Linked DNA regions of Oryctolagus cuniculus. The protein of the gene in region 1 binds, or shares a complex with, the protein of each later gene. Links are inferred from orthologs where the notes say so. Each region holds a gene or a part of one and is shown in the gene's direction. Other genes may lie near its edges.

Evidence for each region.
Region 2: POLD2 (region 1) and POLD3 share a complex: the UniProt entries of both Homo sapiens proteins name them as parts of the both the DNA polymerase delta and DNA polymerase zeta complex. The link is inferred for Oryctolagus cuniculus from reciprocal best matches to the Homo sapiens genes POLD2 and POLD3.
Region 3: POLD2 (region 1) and REV3L share a complex: the UniProt entries of both Homo sapiens proteins name them as parts of the tetrameric Pol-zeta complex. The link is inferred for Oryctolagus cuniculus from reciprocal best matches to the Homo sapiens genes POLD2 and REV3L.
Region 4: POLD2 (region 1) and POLD4 share a complex: the UniProt entries of both Homo sapiens proteins name them as parts of the tetrameric DNA polymerase delta complex. The link is inferred for Oryctolagus cuniculus from reciprocal best matches to the Homo sapiens genes POLD2 and POLD4.

The regions. Positions count from the first base shown.
Region 1 is NC_091447.1:51,601,065-51,605,106, reverse strand, and holds the start of POLD2 (DNA polymerase delta subunit 2), read left to right. Parts: upstream 1-1,236; 5' UTR 1,237-1,562; intron 1,563-1,866; exon of another isoform or gene 1,867-1,935; intron 1,936-2,052; 5' UTR 2,053-2,078; coding exon 2,079-2,298; intron 2,299-4,042. Other genes in the region: Friend virus susceptibility protein 1, read right to left, coding at 1-166. UniProt on the Homo sapiens protein: Accessory component of both the DNA polymerase delta complex and the DNA polymerase zeta complex.
Region 2 is NC_091432.1:65,786,947-65,790,978, forward strand, and holds the start of POLD3 (DNA polymerase delta subunit 3), read left to right. Parts: upstream 1-1,203; 5' UTR 1,204-1,376; coding exon 1,377-1,436; intron 1,437-1,846; exon of another isoform or gene 1,847-2,369; intron 2,370-2,705; coding exon 2,706-2,761; intron 2,762-4,032. UniProt on the Homo sapiens protein: Accessory component of both the DNA polymerase delta complex and the DNA polymerase zeta complex.
Region 3 is NC_091436.1:60,221,795-60,225,356, forward strand, and holds part of REV3L (DNA polymerase zeta catalytic subunit), read left to right. Parts: coding exon 1-2,505; intron 2,506-3,562. UniProt on the Homo sapiens protein: Catalytic subunit of the DNA polymerase zeta complex, an error-prone polymerase specialized in translesion DNA synthesis (TLS). Lacks an intrinsic 3'-5' exonuclease activity and thus has no proofreading function.
Region 4 is NC_091432.1:4,679,985-4,683,377, forward strand, and holds POLD4 (DNA polymerase delta subunit 4), read left to right. Parts: upstream 1-1,364; 5' UTR 1,365-1,581; coding exon 1,582-1,678; intron 1,679-1,868; coding exon 1,869-1,958; intron 1,959-2,115; coding exon 2,116-2,227; intron 2,228-2,464; coding exon 2,465-2,489; 3' UTR 2,490-2,867; downstream 2,868-3,393. UniProt on the Homo sapiens protein: As a component of the tetrameric DNA polymerase delta complex (Pol-delta4), plays a role in high fidelity genome replication and repair.

The DNA.
Region 1 (4,042 bases):
ACTCGGGAGAGTCCACCGCGTTTATCCTGCACATCTCTAAGAATAGCTCCCGCCACGGATTGCAGGTGCTGTCCGCACCGTCGGAAGGAGAATCCTTTGCGTCTTTAGGTCTAACCATATTACACAGCCAATTCCAGAAGCCCCAAAGCCAATGAAGGAAACCCATCTTAGAATTCGGAACCACTCCTGAGACCCAAGTCGGTGCTGCAGTTCCGGGGAGAGAGAGAGAGAGAGAGAGCGCGAGCGAGCAAGACCCCGCGGGAAATGTATAAGGTATCTGACAGGAGAGCGGTCAGCGGCGGGCGGCGTGGCTCACGTGGCACAGGTCCACTGCAACGTGGGGCGCCGGCAGCGTGGCTCCCAGTCTGAAGGCCTCCGAGCCCGGAAGGTAACGGCGTCACTCTTAGCCCACGGCTGACGGCCAGGGGAGCGCGGACCGTGCTGGAGCCCAGGGTCAGCGCGGCTGCAGTTCCGACGCCCAGCGCGTGTCTCGGGCCTGCTGGGGTAGAAGGAGAGAGATCAACCCGTCTCGTGTTTATTTCCTCTCGGCCTGCCCCGCCTGGCCGTCCACTGGGCATCGCAAGACAGCCCCTCTGCAAACACCCTCACAGACCCCCGCAACGCAAGGCCTCTGCGCACTCCTTAAGCGAGCCAGGCTGGCACCTAAGTCAGCCACCACAAGGACACGACAAGAGTCCACCGTGTCTGGGGCCGGGCCTGGCGGGAGGAGCGGGAAGGCAAGGACCCGCCACGCCTCTCGCCCAACTCGCTGCCCGCCCTACAGAGCAACCGCCCTCTTCCAGGTCCACGTTACCCTCACTTGGGCTCAGGTCACCGTTCTGCAGAGACAGCCGGAAATCAAGCGCTTGGCCAGCAGGACCAGCCTGCGGGGAACCCGGGCAGTGCCCACCCTGCACGGTGCAGGCCACCCGCGCGGACCCAGCCTCCTGGGTTCCGGGCACGCGCATGCGCACGGACGAGCATGGGCCTGTCCGTCCCGGCCCCGCCTCCCGTCGCCTGGGAAACCGGGGGCGTGGCTCCGCGCGGCGCGGTGAGTGAGAAGCGCGGGGGCCGGCGGGATGCAGCGGGCGCTGTGGGGCCGACCCGGGCGGAGACCGATTGGTGAGATGCGGCCGCGGACGGGGAGCGCTGGATGGCGATTGGCGGAGTGAGGCAATGAATGGGGCGGGGCTGGCGGCGATTGGCTGGCTACGGCGATGGGCGGGGCGGGCGCGCGGGGGTCGGCGGGATGCGGCGCGCCGCTTGGTGAGGGTTTTCCGGTGAAGCGGTGTCTTGGCGGGCCGCGGGTGCGAGCTCGAGAGTCGGGGACGTCCCGCCGCTGCCGCGCAGCGCTGCTCTCGGGGGCCGGCCGCGGGTGCTCGGGGGTCGCTCCTGGAAAGCCCGCGTCCCGGCCCCGCGCTGTCCAGCGGGCCGCGGGGCCCTGACCCGTCGCGGAGCCGCGCCCAGGCGGTGAGTAGCCGGTGTCCAGAGGCGCTGCTCGCTCCGGGGAGTCGGCCTGTGGCGCTCCGCGGGCGCCAGGTGTCCGTGCGGGTTGCTGGGAGGTGCGTGCCGAGCCAGAGGGCCGAGGTGTGGTTCGGGGTGGGCAGCGGGAGGTGCCCGCGAGCGCGGACCGGGGCGAGCGCGCGCGGGCGCGGGCGCAGGTGCAGCGAGAGGATCCGGAGGCGGGGAGCGCGTGGCACGGGCCGTGGTGAGGCCTGGGCGCTCGGCGCGGCCCGTGGCCGGTGTGTGTCACCGTGGCGATGGTGGTTATTTAGCAATAGCGCGTGCTTCTGGGGTGGGCTCGCGCCCTGGGCTGGGGCAGGTGCAGGGGGCTGGGGAGGCGCGGGTCAGGGATTCCGTTCGCGAGCCTGGCAGGCGGCCTGGGGGTGTGAAGCCGGCAGGGGTCACTCGGGTCCGGGGTTCAGCCGCACTCCGGTGGGAGAGGCTCCCTTGCTCCCTGCCGGGACTGTCCGGTCTGGCCCCCGGAGGCGGTGCGGGCAGCCGCGTTTGGCACCGGGCGAGGGTGGCAGGGATGCCTTTGTGTGCCCACAGGACCCCTCCTCGGCCGGGACGCAGCCATGTTTTCCGAGCAGGCCGCCCAGCGTGCCCACACGCTGCTGTCCCCTCCGTCCGCCAACAACGCCACCTTCGCCCGGGTGCCCGTGGCCACCTACACCAACGCGTCGCAGCCTTTCCGCCTGGGCGAGCGCAACTTCAACCGGCAGTACGCGCACATTTACGCCACGCGCCTCAGCCAGATGAGACCCTTCCTGGTGAGCCGGGCCCGGCAGCGCTGGGGTGAGTGTGGGCGCGCGCGGCTCCAGGTTTCCCCGATCGGTCCCATTTGTGAGTTACCTGGGAACGCTAGCCCGTCCCTCGCGGCGTCCTCACGTAACCAGGACTGGTGTAAGACCTGTGGTGTGAGGTGGAGGCCAGAGGCTGCTCCCAGGTCAGGGTGGAGCACTGAGAGCCGTTGTTGCGGTGGGGGGAATGGTTTAGGTGCAGGGCACTCCACCGTTCGCCCATGCCCGAGCGCGGCTGGCCTGGCACCGGAGCCACCGGCGGCGGGGCCCCTCCGTTTCTGCTTCCTGCCGCCCAGCGGCCGTGACTCCCCTGACCCTCAGCATTCTGTCTTTCCAAATAAAGACCCGGGCTGTGCAAGCTGTTTTCTCGTCCCCGTCTCTTCCCCGGTGGGCTCTCCTACCCCTCGATGCCCTGGGGGTGAGACAGGACCCGGCCTCTCACTCCCGACTCTGGTGGTGCCCCGTTACCCCAGCTGTGGGACTGGCACACGGCCGCTGTTCCTGATGCATCTCCGAGACGGTCATCATGAGACCGTGTCTTACCCAGGCCGGGTGGGTCTTGGGCCAGCCTGCCCCAGGGTCAGTCTGCCCCTGGCCCGCGCCCTCCCTGGGGTCAGTCTCCCCCAACACAGTATCTCCCCCTGGCCCACCCCGGGGTCAGTCTGCCCCTGGCCCGCGCCCTCTCTGGGGTCCGTCTGCCCTGGCCTGGCCTGTGCCCTCTCTGTGGTCGGTCTGCCCTGGCCTGTGCCCTCTCCGGGGTTGGTCTGCCCTGGCCTGTGCCCTCCCTGGAGTCGGTCTGCCCTGGCCTGTGCCCTCCCTGGGGTCAGTCTGCCCTGACCCACGCCCTCTCTGGGGTCGGTCTGCCCTGGCCTGTGCCCTCCCTGGGGTCAGTCTGCCCTGGTCCGCCCCCTCTCTGGGGTCGGTCTGCCCTGGCCTGTGCCCTCCCTGGGGTCAGTCTGCCCTGGCCCGCGCCCTCTCTGGGGTCGGTCTGCCCTGGCCTGTGCCCTCCCTGGGGTCAGTCTGCCCTGGCCCGCCCCCTCTCTGGGGTCGGTCTGCCCTGGCCTGTGCCCTCCCTGGGGTCAGTCTGCCCTGGTCCGCCCCCTCTCTGGGGTCGGTCTGCCCTGGCCTGTGCCCTCCCTGGGGTCAGTCTGCCCTGGTCCGCCCCCTCTCTGGGGTCGGTCTGCCCTGGCCTGTGCCCTCCCTGGGGTCAGTCTGCCCTGGCCCGCGCCCTCTTTCAGGGGTCAGTCTGCCCTGGCCTGTGCCTTCCTTGGGGTCTGTCTGCCCCTGGCCTGCACCCTCTCAGGGGTCAGTCTGCCCTGGCCTGTGCCCTCCCCGGGGTCACTCTGCCCCTGGCCCGTGCCCTCCCTGGCCTTTGCCCTCCCTGGGGTCAGTCTGCCCCTGGCCTGCACCCTCTCCAGGGTTGGTCTCCCTTTGGCCTGTGCCCTCCCGGGGGTCTGTCTGCCCCTGGCCTGTACCCTCCTTGGGGTCTGTCTGCCCCTGGCCTGTGCCCTCCCGGGGGTCTGTCTGCCCCTGGCCTGCGCCCTCTCTGGCGTCTGTCTGCCCCTGGCCTGCCCTGGGGTTGGTCTGCCCTGGCCTGCGCCCTCTCCAGGGTCAGCCTGCCCTGGCCCATGCCCTCCCCGGAGTCTTGTCTCCTCACCTCGGTTTCCTGTCCTTCTATCACCGTCACCGTGACTCTCTGGGGCCTCCCCGTGTTTTCTGCTCAGCCTTGCACTTCTCAC
Region 2 (4,032 bases), on another chromosome or scaffold:
GGCAAGGAAACTTTAAGCTAAGGGAAGGCAGCTGGGAGACCATGGGAGACTGGGACTTAAATATCTCCAGGAGAGTGTGATGTAATGAGAACGGCCTCCATGTCTTAATGACTGCAGCTGTACCCTCACTACCCTGAACCGTTCCTGGCCCTTGGTAGGCTTTTGCCATCTTACAGATAAGGAACCAGATTCTGAGTGGTTAAACAACTTATAAAACTCAGTACATAAAAAATCAGACTCAAGGGGCCAGGGCTGTGGCATAGTCAGTAAAGCTGCCGCTTGCAGTGCCCGAATCCCACATGGGCATGGCTTCAAGTCCTGACTGCTCCACTATGGATCCATCTCCCTGCTAAGGTGGCTGGGTACAGCGGTGGAAGATGATGAAGATGGCCCAAGTGAAGTGACCCATGTGAGGGACCTGGAAGAAGTTTATGGCTCCTAGCTTCTGGCTTCGGCCTCGCCCAGCCCTGGCTGTTGCAACCACTTGGGAGTGAACCAGTGGATGGAAAACCTCCCCCAATCCCCGCCCCGATTCTGCCTTTCAAATAAAAAATAAAAATTTAAAAAGAAATCCAGATTCAAATCTGGAGTCCTCTAGAGCTTGATTGCTTATTCACTATGCTGGGGACCTTGGCTTATCCTAAATTTTTGGTGATACTATGAGAAATTCTCACGCAATTCCCCAACCTGAAAATTCTCCTTGTCCTCTTTAACTGAGAAGGACGTGCATGCAACCCTACACACAGCCTCCTAAGGCATGGAGTGCTGTGGCCTCGTCAGATCTCCTCTCTCCCTGGCTCCTTCTCCCCCACATTCCCGCTATTCCCGCTATCTGGAGCTTTCTCTTCCCGGCAGCCGCTCCCGCCTCTCTCAGAAACGCCCCGCCTCCTTTACCTGCTTTGAAGAACTTCTAATTCTTTAACTGTGCATTATAACAGGCAAGTATTGTATTCCAGCCGGCCCTACTCAACTTTTATCTTTATCGTCCAAAACTGTGGCCTGCCTGAATAGGTTCCAAATATTTACTGAATAAAATATCGCGAGGCAAGGATTCTTTTATCAATTCACAGATGAAAAGGCTGTGGCTCCTACAGGTGCGGTCACTCAGCGGCGGGGTGAAACCCGACACCTCCTCTCCACACACACCACACACAAACCCGCCCCAACCAATGGCTCTTACTGGCTCCACCCACTTCACCCTGCGCCGTCTCCGTGACTAGTTTGACCCCTGGGCGGCCGCCGTAGCGCGTCGCTTCGGTTGCCGTGGGAAACGACCCGGGACCTGGGAGGGAGTAAAGACGTTTCCCGCCGGCGGGAGCTGCCGCTGTGACTGAGAGGGGGTACCCCGAGCCGGCGGGGCCGATTGCTGTGGCACCATGGCGGACCAGCTGTATCTGGAAAATATAGACGAGTTCGTCACGGACCAGAACAAGATTGTGAGGAGCGAGGGCCTGGGGGAGCAGGCGTGCGACTGGGGTCCTGGGCCGAGCCAGGGCGGTGGGGGCCTGGACCCTCGTGCTTGTGGTCTCGTGGGGGACTGGCCGAGAGGGGGGACAGGTCCCCGTCACCGCGTGCTCCCGGGGCGAGCGAGGACTCGCCGGGGAGGTCTAATGGCGCGCGCGGCAGCGGGCGTTCCTCGGGTAGGCGTGTTGGGGGCTGCCCCGGGGAGAGGCCGCGGGGGTTGAGGGTCTGTCTAAGGCGTCCCTACGCCGGCTTGACCCGGCGGGTGGCGTTTCAAGCCCCAGGTTTGCCTCTGAGGAAAGTGTGCCTCAGCCGTGTTGAGGGACGGTCTGACCTCGGGTTTCCTCTTCCTGGAAATTGGAGTATTGACGGGGGCGTGACCCGCCTGGCGGGGTTGGTGTCCTGATCGGAGGGGAGGGAGGCGAATGCGCCTTGCGAGGCGTGGTAGTGAGCGCCCGCTGGGTGCCGGGGCTCTGTGGCTACGCGCTGTTGCCCGTCATCTTTGCCTCGGCCCTCCCCACCCCCACCCCCGCCCCAGGCAGGGAGTCGTATTCCTTCGGGGAACCCCGAGGCCAAAGAACGAGTTCGGTCGCTCTTAGAGAGGGCGGCGCCGTCTTCGAACCTAGGCCTGGCTCTTCCACGAGTCCTTCGAGCTCGCCCCGGCCTGTGCCTGACCTGCCCAGGTCTTTTGATTATGGCAGCTCGGCCTGTAGCGAGCTTTAGCGAGAGAGTGACAGGCGGACGGGGTGGAGGAGGGCTGCACGCTTGGTGTCAGTGGTTCCCATCTGACCCGCTGCGGTCTTCATCCCGACCCCTGCACCGCCTGTGCCCCTAGTGCTCGTCCCTGTGGCTGCAGCTTTCCTGAGCGATTTCTGCATCATACGCTTGGGAAATCATTTAGCTCCTAGGTGAGTTTTCAGGTAGTTTAGGCCGGTGGTTCCCCCACAAAGGCAGAATCTAAAGAAAGGCCTAAGTGAAACAAGGAGCAAGAGGAAAAGGAGAGCTCTTTCTTTACGTGTATTCGGACTGTCTTTGTATGAAGCAGTCTGGGGGGAAAAAAACACAAACTTTTTGTTAGTGTTTGTAAAGTAGATATCTTTATTCTGCCAGCCCAGGTAGTTCTTGACAAAACTGTGGTGGTATTGATTGCAATTGATAAGGCACAATCACACTCACTTAAGATTACTGATCTAGGCTCTGGGGGCATTTCATAAAACATTCTTGAAAATTGCTTCTTCTTGCAGGTGACGTACAAATGGCTGAGCTATACACTAGGGGTTCATGTTAACCAGGCCAAACAGTAAGTCCAATTTACTACCAATTTTAATCACATAGAGGAGGGTTTTGTTTTGTTTGTTTCTTGTTTTGCTCTTTAGATAGCTCCTAGGATAGAACTAATTTTCTTTTTTTTTCCTGAGTAAATGGAAAAAAACACTTATTTTACTACCTCATATTTTTGTCTCTTTTAGGAGACTGGTAGACTTGATAACAAAGGTGTGGTGTGATCAATTTGCTGGATTCATTTGCATCCTTGGCCTGCTGTGAACATGTTTGTTATTTCAAATTTCTTAAATGAATTAGTTCTTTTTGCATCTAAAATTTATATGTCTGTTATCTTACGTCTTCACCACATTCTCATATGTGGGCCTTAGACCCATCTCCAGATGTTACTGGAGTACTTCATAATGAGGTCAACAGGTGTTCGACGCAAGCTGTGTGACAGGGTGAGCGATTTAAGTGAAACTGGAAAGGGAGTGTTTAGGATGGTGTATGGCCTTGCCTTTCTTCAATTTAGTGCCATGTCACCTTTCCTTGCCTAAATTTGGGATCTAACCCGAGCCCAAAAGAAAAGGTGAGCTTTTGAATTCACTTCCAAGATGTGGATGATGTCTGTGACCCAGGGGAGGAATTAGTGAACTGGCTGAGGATACATATATTGGGTTAAATTCTCATTTTGTTTGTTTGATTCCTAAGGGTGGTCTGAAGTTTCTTCTGGAGTCATAGAAACCTAGAGTCATGAGAACTTCCCACAAGTCTCAGAAAATCCCTGACTTCTAGAATGGGTTGATTTGGTTTTATTGGGTTAAGCACATCTAGGAGTCTAATTTGGGGTGTGATGTTAAAGCTTTCAAAACCCAGAAACTCTTATATAGGGATGGATTTGGATTGATTTTGACTAAAATTGCGTAAGACTAGTTCTGGCCCAAACCCAAGAGCTTCAGTTAACTTTGTCAGTGGATACCTATAAGAGTTATTGTCTGTTACCATTATGGGTATTTAAATAAGAGATGAAGCACCTGTTAACCTGTTGGGGTTTAAGGATGAATAATGACTGGATTCTCTGAAAATGAAATAAAGATGTATGCAATTTTAGTGGAGGTACCCCAATTACTTGTAATTTTTATAGCATTAGCACACTAATTCCTACCTGTGTACCCAACTTTACCTATACCACTCTCTGTCTCAATTGTGATACTCTAGCCATATTTGCTTTGCTTTCCTTCAGTTATGTGAAGTCATTCTCACCACAAGAACCTGTACCTTTCTCTCTGCCTAGATTGCTTTTCTTAG
Region 3 (3,562 bases), on another chromosome or scaffold:
TCCCTCACCATCTTACCATGCTGAAACCGAAGACTGTGACTTGAATTATAGTGATGTTATGTCTAAACTAGGTTTTCTTTCTGAGAGAAGCACAAGTCCCATAAATTCTTCTCCACCTCGCTGCTGGTCTCCCACTGACCCAAGAGCTGAAGAAATCATGGCTGCTGCAGAAAAAGAAGCAACACTTTTTAAGGGTCCTAATGCATACAATAGTAAGACTGTTAATTCTCGTATAGGAAAAAATAGTCGGGCAAGAGCGCAAGCTAAGAAATCAAAGGCAAAGCTTGTTAATCCCTCTATAGTTACTAAGAAAAGGAACAAACGAAATCAGACAAACAAACTGGTAGATAATGGAAAAAAGAAACCAAGAGCAAGACAGAAACAAAAGACAAATGAAAAAGGTACATCAAAAAAGCATATAACACTTAAGGATGAAAAAATAAAATCTCAGTCTGGTGCTGAAGTTAAGTTTGTGCTGAAACACCAGAATGTGGCTGAGCTCACGAACAGTCCTGGAGGCTCTCAACTACTTTTTAAACAGAAAGATGTGTCACTCACAGGCTCTGTTATAGAGCATCCTCTTTCTGTTCCTCTACCAACTGGAATTAATGCACAACAGAAGTTATCTGGCTGCTTTTCTTCTTTTTTAGAAAGCAAAAAATCTGTGGATATGCAAACATTCCCCAGTTCTCGAGATGATCTGCATTCATCAGTTGTATGTAGTTCTGTAGGATCTGGAATCTCAAAAATTAATGCTCAAAGGTCTCATAATCAGAGTGCTATGTTTTCTCTGAAAGAATCAACGTTGATTCAAAAAAATATATTCGACCTTTCCAAACATTTATCTCAGGTAGCACAGAATACACAGATATCTTCAGGTATAATGTCTCCAAAGACAGAAGAGAATGCAAGTATACAAAAAAACTATTTGTCATCTGTTGGAAAGTTAAATGAAAATCGCAGTTCCCTAGAATCAAAGCTGGATCAGGGATGTTCTTCTAATTTTTCACATTGCAAAGACAGTCAGCCGCAGATCGTATGCATGGCAGAACAATCCAAGCACAGTGAATCGTGTACTGTAGGAAATGCAACTTCAGAGGAAAGCCAAATGCCTAATAATTGCTTTGTAACTTCCTTGAGAAGTCCCATCAGACAAATAGCATGGGAGCAGAAACAAAGGGGTTTTATTTTAGATATGACAAATTTTAAGCCTGAAATAGTAAAACAAAGGTCATTTTCAGAAGCAATTTCACAAACCAAAGCACTTTCTCAGTGTAAAAATCAAAATGTGTCAACACCTTCAGCATTTGGCGAAGGACAGTCTGGACTAGCAGTTCTAAAAGAACTGTTACAAAAAAGGCAGCAGAAAGCACAAAATGCAAATATTATGCAAGATCCATTGTCTAACAAACATCAACCAAACAAAAATATTTCTAGTTCCTTTGAACACAATAAAGCAAATAAGCAGACACGATCAGTAACATCTCCAAGAAAACCTCGAACTCCCAGAAGTACAAAACCTAAAGAGAAGAATTCCAAACTTCTAAAAGTAGACTCTTTAAATTTACAAAACTCTAGCCAGTTGGATAATTCCCTCTCAGATGATAGTCCTGTCTTTTTTTCAGATCCGGGTTTTGAGAGTTGTTATTCACTTGAAGATAGCTTGTCTCCTGAACATAGTTATAATTTTGATATTAATACAATTGGTCAGGCAGGGTTTTGTAGCTTTTATTCTGGAAGTCAGTTTGTTCCAGCTGATCAGAATTTGCCTCAGAAGTTTTTAAGTGATGCTGTTCAGGATCTTTTTCCAGGACAAACTATAGAAAAAAATGAGTTTTTAAGTCATGATAACCAAAAGTGTGATGAAAACAAGCATCATTCTTCAGATTCAGCCTCATGGATTAGATCTGGTACTTTAAGTCCTGAGCTTTTCGAAAAGTCATCCATAGATAGCAATGAGAATCTTCGCCACAGCCAGTGGAAAAATAACTTTCATCCCCTAACAGCTCGGTCCAATTCCATAATAGATTCTTTCTGTGTCCAGCAAGCAGAGGACTGTCTAAATGAAAAATCCAGATTGAATAGGAGTTCGGTAAGCAAAGAAGTGTTTCTTAACCTCCCACAGCCAAGCAATTCAGACTGGATTCAAGGTCACACCAGAAAAGAAATGGGACAGTCAATTGACTCAGTTAATACCTCTTTTACTACAATACTCTCCTCTCCCGATGGTGAACTTGTAGATGCAGCTTCTGAAGATTTAGAATTGTATGTTTCAAGAAACAATATGTTGACACCAACTCCTGATAGTTCACCAAGGTCTACCAGCTCTCCCTTACAATCTAAAAATGGCAGTTTCACTCCTCGAACTGCTCACATTCTGAAACCACTTATGTCCCCACCAAGTAGGGAAGAAATTGTGGCAACATTGTTGGATCATGACCTTTCAGAAACTGTTTACCAGGAACCATTCTGCAGTAATCCTTCTGATGTGCCAGAAAAGCCCAGGTAATGAAATTTTTTTTCCCCCTTTGAGTTATTCTGAAGAGTTGTATATTACAAATTTGCTACTTCGTTGCAGGTTTTTTGTCTGTTAATGCTGTATTTGTAAGTATACTATTGTGAAAACTATTCGTAATTATAGACTTACTAAGAAAACACAGCATGGCTTTTGTCCTGCTGGCTAAGATGCCTGTGCCCATGTTGGAGTGCCAGGGTTGGACACCTGGCTCACTCCTGACTCCAGCTTCCTGCTAATTCAAAACCCAGAAGACAGCAATGATGGCTTGTGATTGGGTTCCTGCTTCTAGCTTCAGACCCAGCCAGGGGCCATTGTGGGCATTTGGGGAATAAACCAGCAGATGGAAGGTCTCTCTGTTGTCTCTGTGCCCCTCAAATAAATAAGCATGAATCTAATTTTTTAATTTAAAAAATTCACAAGCTACCCAGACTATTGCATCTAGGGAGATTAACTAACTTTGATAAATATTGAACTTGAATCTACTGCTTAAGAATTAGAGTTATAAAGGCTCACTTTGACATGAGGCAAAGTTAAGAGGATGCCATAAAACTTTTTTCAAAAAATCTTTTTTTAAAGACATAGCAACGGGGGTGGGAGTTGGGGGAGAGATCTTCTATCTGCCCATTCATTCCCCAAATGGTACCAATAGTGAGGTCTGGACCAGGCCAAAGCCAGAATCCAGGAACTCCATCCTGGTTACCCACGTGGGTGGCAGGGGCCCAAGTACTTGGGCAGTATCTTCTGCCTTTCCAGGTGTATTAACATAAAGCTGGATTGTAAGCAGAGTAATCAGGACTTGAACCAGCACTCTGACGTGGGATGCTGGTGTTGAAGATGAGACTATTTAACACACTGCACTACAACACCAGCCTCCTTAATACTTTAAAGGTATTACAATGATCACTTTAAAATAATTTTTAATAAATATTAAGTTTGTATACATTTTGAAAACAATTTAATTTTTAAAAAGTGTTTGAGCATGTAAATGTTTTTATTGCCCTTAAATTTTCAAAATAAGATTATTTCTATTATAAACCACTTTTT
Region 4 (3,393 bases), on another chromosome or scaffold:
GGGAGAACCGGCAGGAGGCGGCCCCGGAAGACAGGCTAGTCCTCTGCTTCCCCTCTGGGAAGCACTCTCCTCCTGGGTCTCTGTGTGTACCGGGGCCCAGCCCGCTTCCTGACCCGGAGCACCGGGCCCGCGCACTGGGAAAGAGGCCAGCAGAGGCCCCCAGCAGGCGCCAACCCTCACAGCCCTGGAGGGAAGGACCGGATGGGCGCCCCGGCTCGAGGGTGATCAGGGCCGGGCTGTCTCTGTGCTGGTTCCCAGCCTCCCACTGGCCAGCACTTTGCCTGCTGCCAGGAAATTGGTGAGGGGGAGGCGGGAGTAGGGGTGAGTCAGCAGTGACAGGAGCCCAGGGGACAAAGGTCACGGGTGGGGGATTGAGAGCCACTGTGTACCAGAGCCTACCTCCTCCAGGAGGCCTCCTGACACCAACTGCACTGTGGACCCACCCCACGCCTGTCCTCCGTCTTCCAACGGCACCCCCTCTGCCCTGGGGACCTGGGGCGCAGGGAGGGGCTGTGGTCCAACAGGGGTCCCCGCAATGCCAGTCTATCGGCAGGGATAATAATTTATCCATACTGCCTACTTTCAAAAACCCTTGCCATCTGCTTAAACGGAGTTGCTGTGGGGATGGTTAGAGCGGTCCCTGCAACACAGCGCACGCTGCGCTGTGAGCGTTTTCTGCTCCCAGGCACGATGCTGCAAGACGGTGCAGGTCTGGCTGGGAAGAACTGGGGACCCAGAGGCCCCGTGAGAGACCCCAGCTCTGGCCTCAGGCTACCCAGGGGACCTTCCTGACCACTAGGGTGAGCAGAGGCAGGCTTCGGACCCCAGGAGAGCCGACAGGGCCACGCGCGGCCTCCACCAGCAGTGTGGGCAGTGTCTGGGCACAGGCTGTGAGAAAGGAGCTGTCAGAGCCCAAGGCCCCCACCAGCGCTCCTGGGGCGGGTGGGAGCAGGGCAGGGGGCTGGATTAGCCCAAACTCTCTTCGGACCTCCAGACCTGCCCCCACAACGCTCGGGTCCAAGGCCCCGGAGAGGAAGGTTCCAGATGGGCTCTGGGGAGTTACAAACCCGACACGGGGATTAGTGAGGCTGAAAAGAACATTTGCCTAGGAAGGCAAAACGGGAAGTGAGAGGCCCAGGATAACGCTCCGTGCGTCCCCGGGGACCCACGGAGACCAATGGGGGGCGGGAGGAGGTGGTGAAGTCTGGGGCATCTTGACAGGTCCCCACCCCTCCCGAACCCCTCCTCCCCCAGAGCACAGCTGCAGCAGCTGCCCCGCCCCTCGCCCTGCGCCGCGCGCCATTGGCTGGGGCCCGGGCCCCGCCCCACAGCGGCGGCCTGCCATTGGCTTCGGTCTTTGCTATTTGCGTGTTTGTGGGGGCGGGGGGCAGGCGTCATCCCCTGGAACCAGGCGACTTCCTCTCGGGCTTGTCTGGGTCATCTCGTCTGCCCGTCGCTGGCCCCATCTCGCTCTCTGGCCACGACTCTCTCGCGCTCTCCCCTAGCAGCTGTCTCTCTCGCGCCCGCTGGCCTGTCTCTTCGTCCCCGCGGTCACCTTCTCCGCCTGCCTGGGTGGCCACCATGGGCCGGAAGCAGCTCATCACTGACTCCTACCCTGTTGTGAAGCGGGGGGAGGGGCCTGCCGGGCACTGCAAGGGGGAGCTGGCACGAGAGCTAGGTCTCTGAAGCGCGGGGGAGGTCGGAGGAGTGGACAGCAGGGGCCGGAGAGGACGTGGGCGGGGGCAGATGGAAGGGGAAGCGTAGCACGTCCTCTCCTTCCGGCTGACAGGGCTGGCCGCCGGGTGGCAGAGGCAGAGAGCCGCTGAGGAGGGCTGCGGGCACCCGCCTGAGGAGCAGTGTCATTGCAGGGGAGGAGCCCCGGCCCCCCGGCGGGGAGGAAGCCGTGCTGGAGCTGCTGCGGCAGTTTGACCTGGCCTGGCAGTACGGGCCCTGCACAGGTGAGCGCCGCCCTGTCTCCCCGCCTGCCTCGCCTGCCTCTCGGGCGCCTGCGCCCGGCCCTGGGGTCTCAGGACGCGGCGCCTCGGCGCGCATTATCTGGGTGTGCCGGACTCTTCCTGCGCCCCATGAGGCCCGGGTCTCCTGCCTGCCCCTCAGGGATCACCCGTCTGCAGCGCTGGCACCGGGCAGAGCAGATGGGCTTGGAGCCGCCACCAGAGGTGCTCCAGCTGCTGAAGGCCCACCCAGGAGACCCCCGCTTCCAGTACAGGTCAGAGACAGGCTCGGGGCTTTTGGGTACCACCCGATGGGGAGGCTGCCCTGACCGAGGGGGCGTGGATGCAGGTTTGGGGGTTATGTTTTAATAATTCTCTCTCTGAGCTACTGGGGGAAGGGGTGACCCCAGGCCCCCCGGTTCTGTCTGCAGTACTGAGGGTCTGCCCGCATCAGACCGAGGGGCCTCACTGACTGTCTCTCTCTCTCTCTGGCAAATCCCCCGTCTACACAGCCTCTGGCACTTCTACCCCCTCTGAGGCATCAGCTGAGCCCTGCTGCCGCTGGCACTCCCGCCAGCCGCCCGAGAGCCTCAGGACAGAGCCATCGCCACCTGCACCTGCTGCTGCGTAGCTCAGCTCCACTGTGGAGGAGCGCTTGGAGGGCTCCGGTCCTCCATCCAGCCCCCACCCCACCCCCAGGGCGAGCTCCTGCAGGAAGTGCTGTCCGCAGGACGAGGACCTGGCCAGGGCCCTTCCAATGCCTTCCTCAACCAGGCAGAGCCGGACGCAGGCTGGCGACCTCGGAGGCCGGAGTGCACACCCGACCTCAGGCTGGGGAGCGGAGGGCAGGACTGGCTGAGTTCTCAGGGCAAGGGGTTCATGCACACTTATCAATAAAGAACACTGGAATCCTGACCTCCATTCCTTTAACGTGGCCCGGCCTTGGCTGGCAGGCCCCAGCAAGCTCCGAGGTGGGAGACAGCCAGCACCAGGCCTCACCTTTCCTCCCGCTTGAGCGGGAGGGGAGACACCCAGACAGAACCACGGAGCCCGCACTCTGCGCTCTCTGGCGCCCTCTGGTGGTGCACGAGAACTACTCTAGTCATCATCGGGGACCAGCCAGGGAAAACCTGCCTGCGCTACTGCCACCCAGCCAGCCCCATGTTGCCGGAGGAGGGTCCGGGGGCCAGACGGACCTACACGTTCCCACCAAGCACCTCTGCTTCCCTCACCAGGGTCGACCAGGAGCCACCGCAAGGCTGGGGAGGTCTTACCTTGCAGGACCTGCTCAGACATGGCCACCTGGGGCTCTGGAAGGGAACCCACAGTGCTGGGGACAGAGGGAGCTGGCTGGGGACGGGGTAACGCGGAGGAGACCCGGGTCAGGGTGTGACGTGGAGGGTGCAGTGGCTCCCCTCTCTGGCAGTCCTGTCCCAGCCCC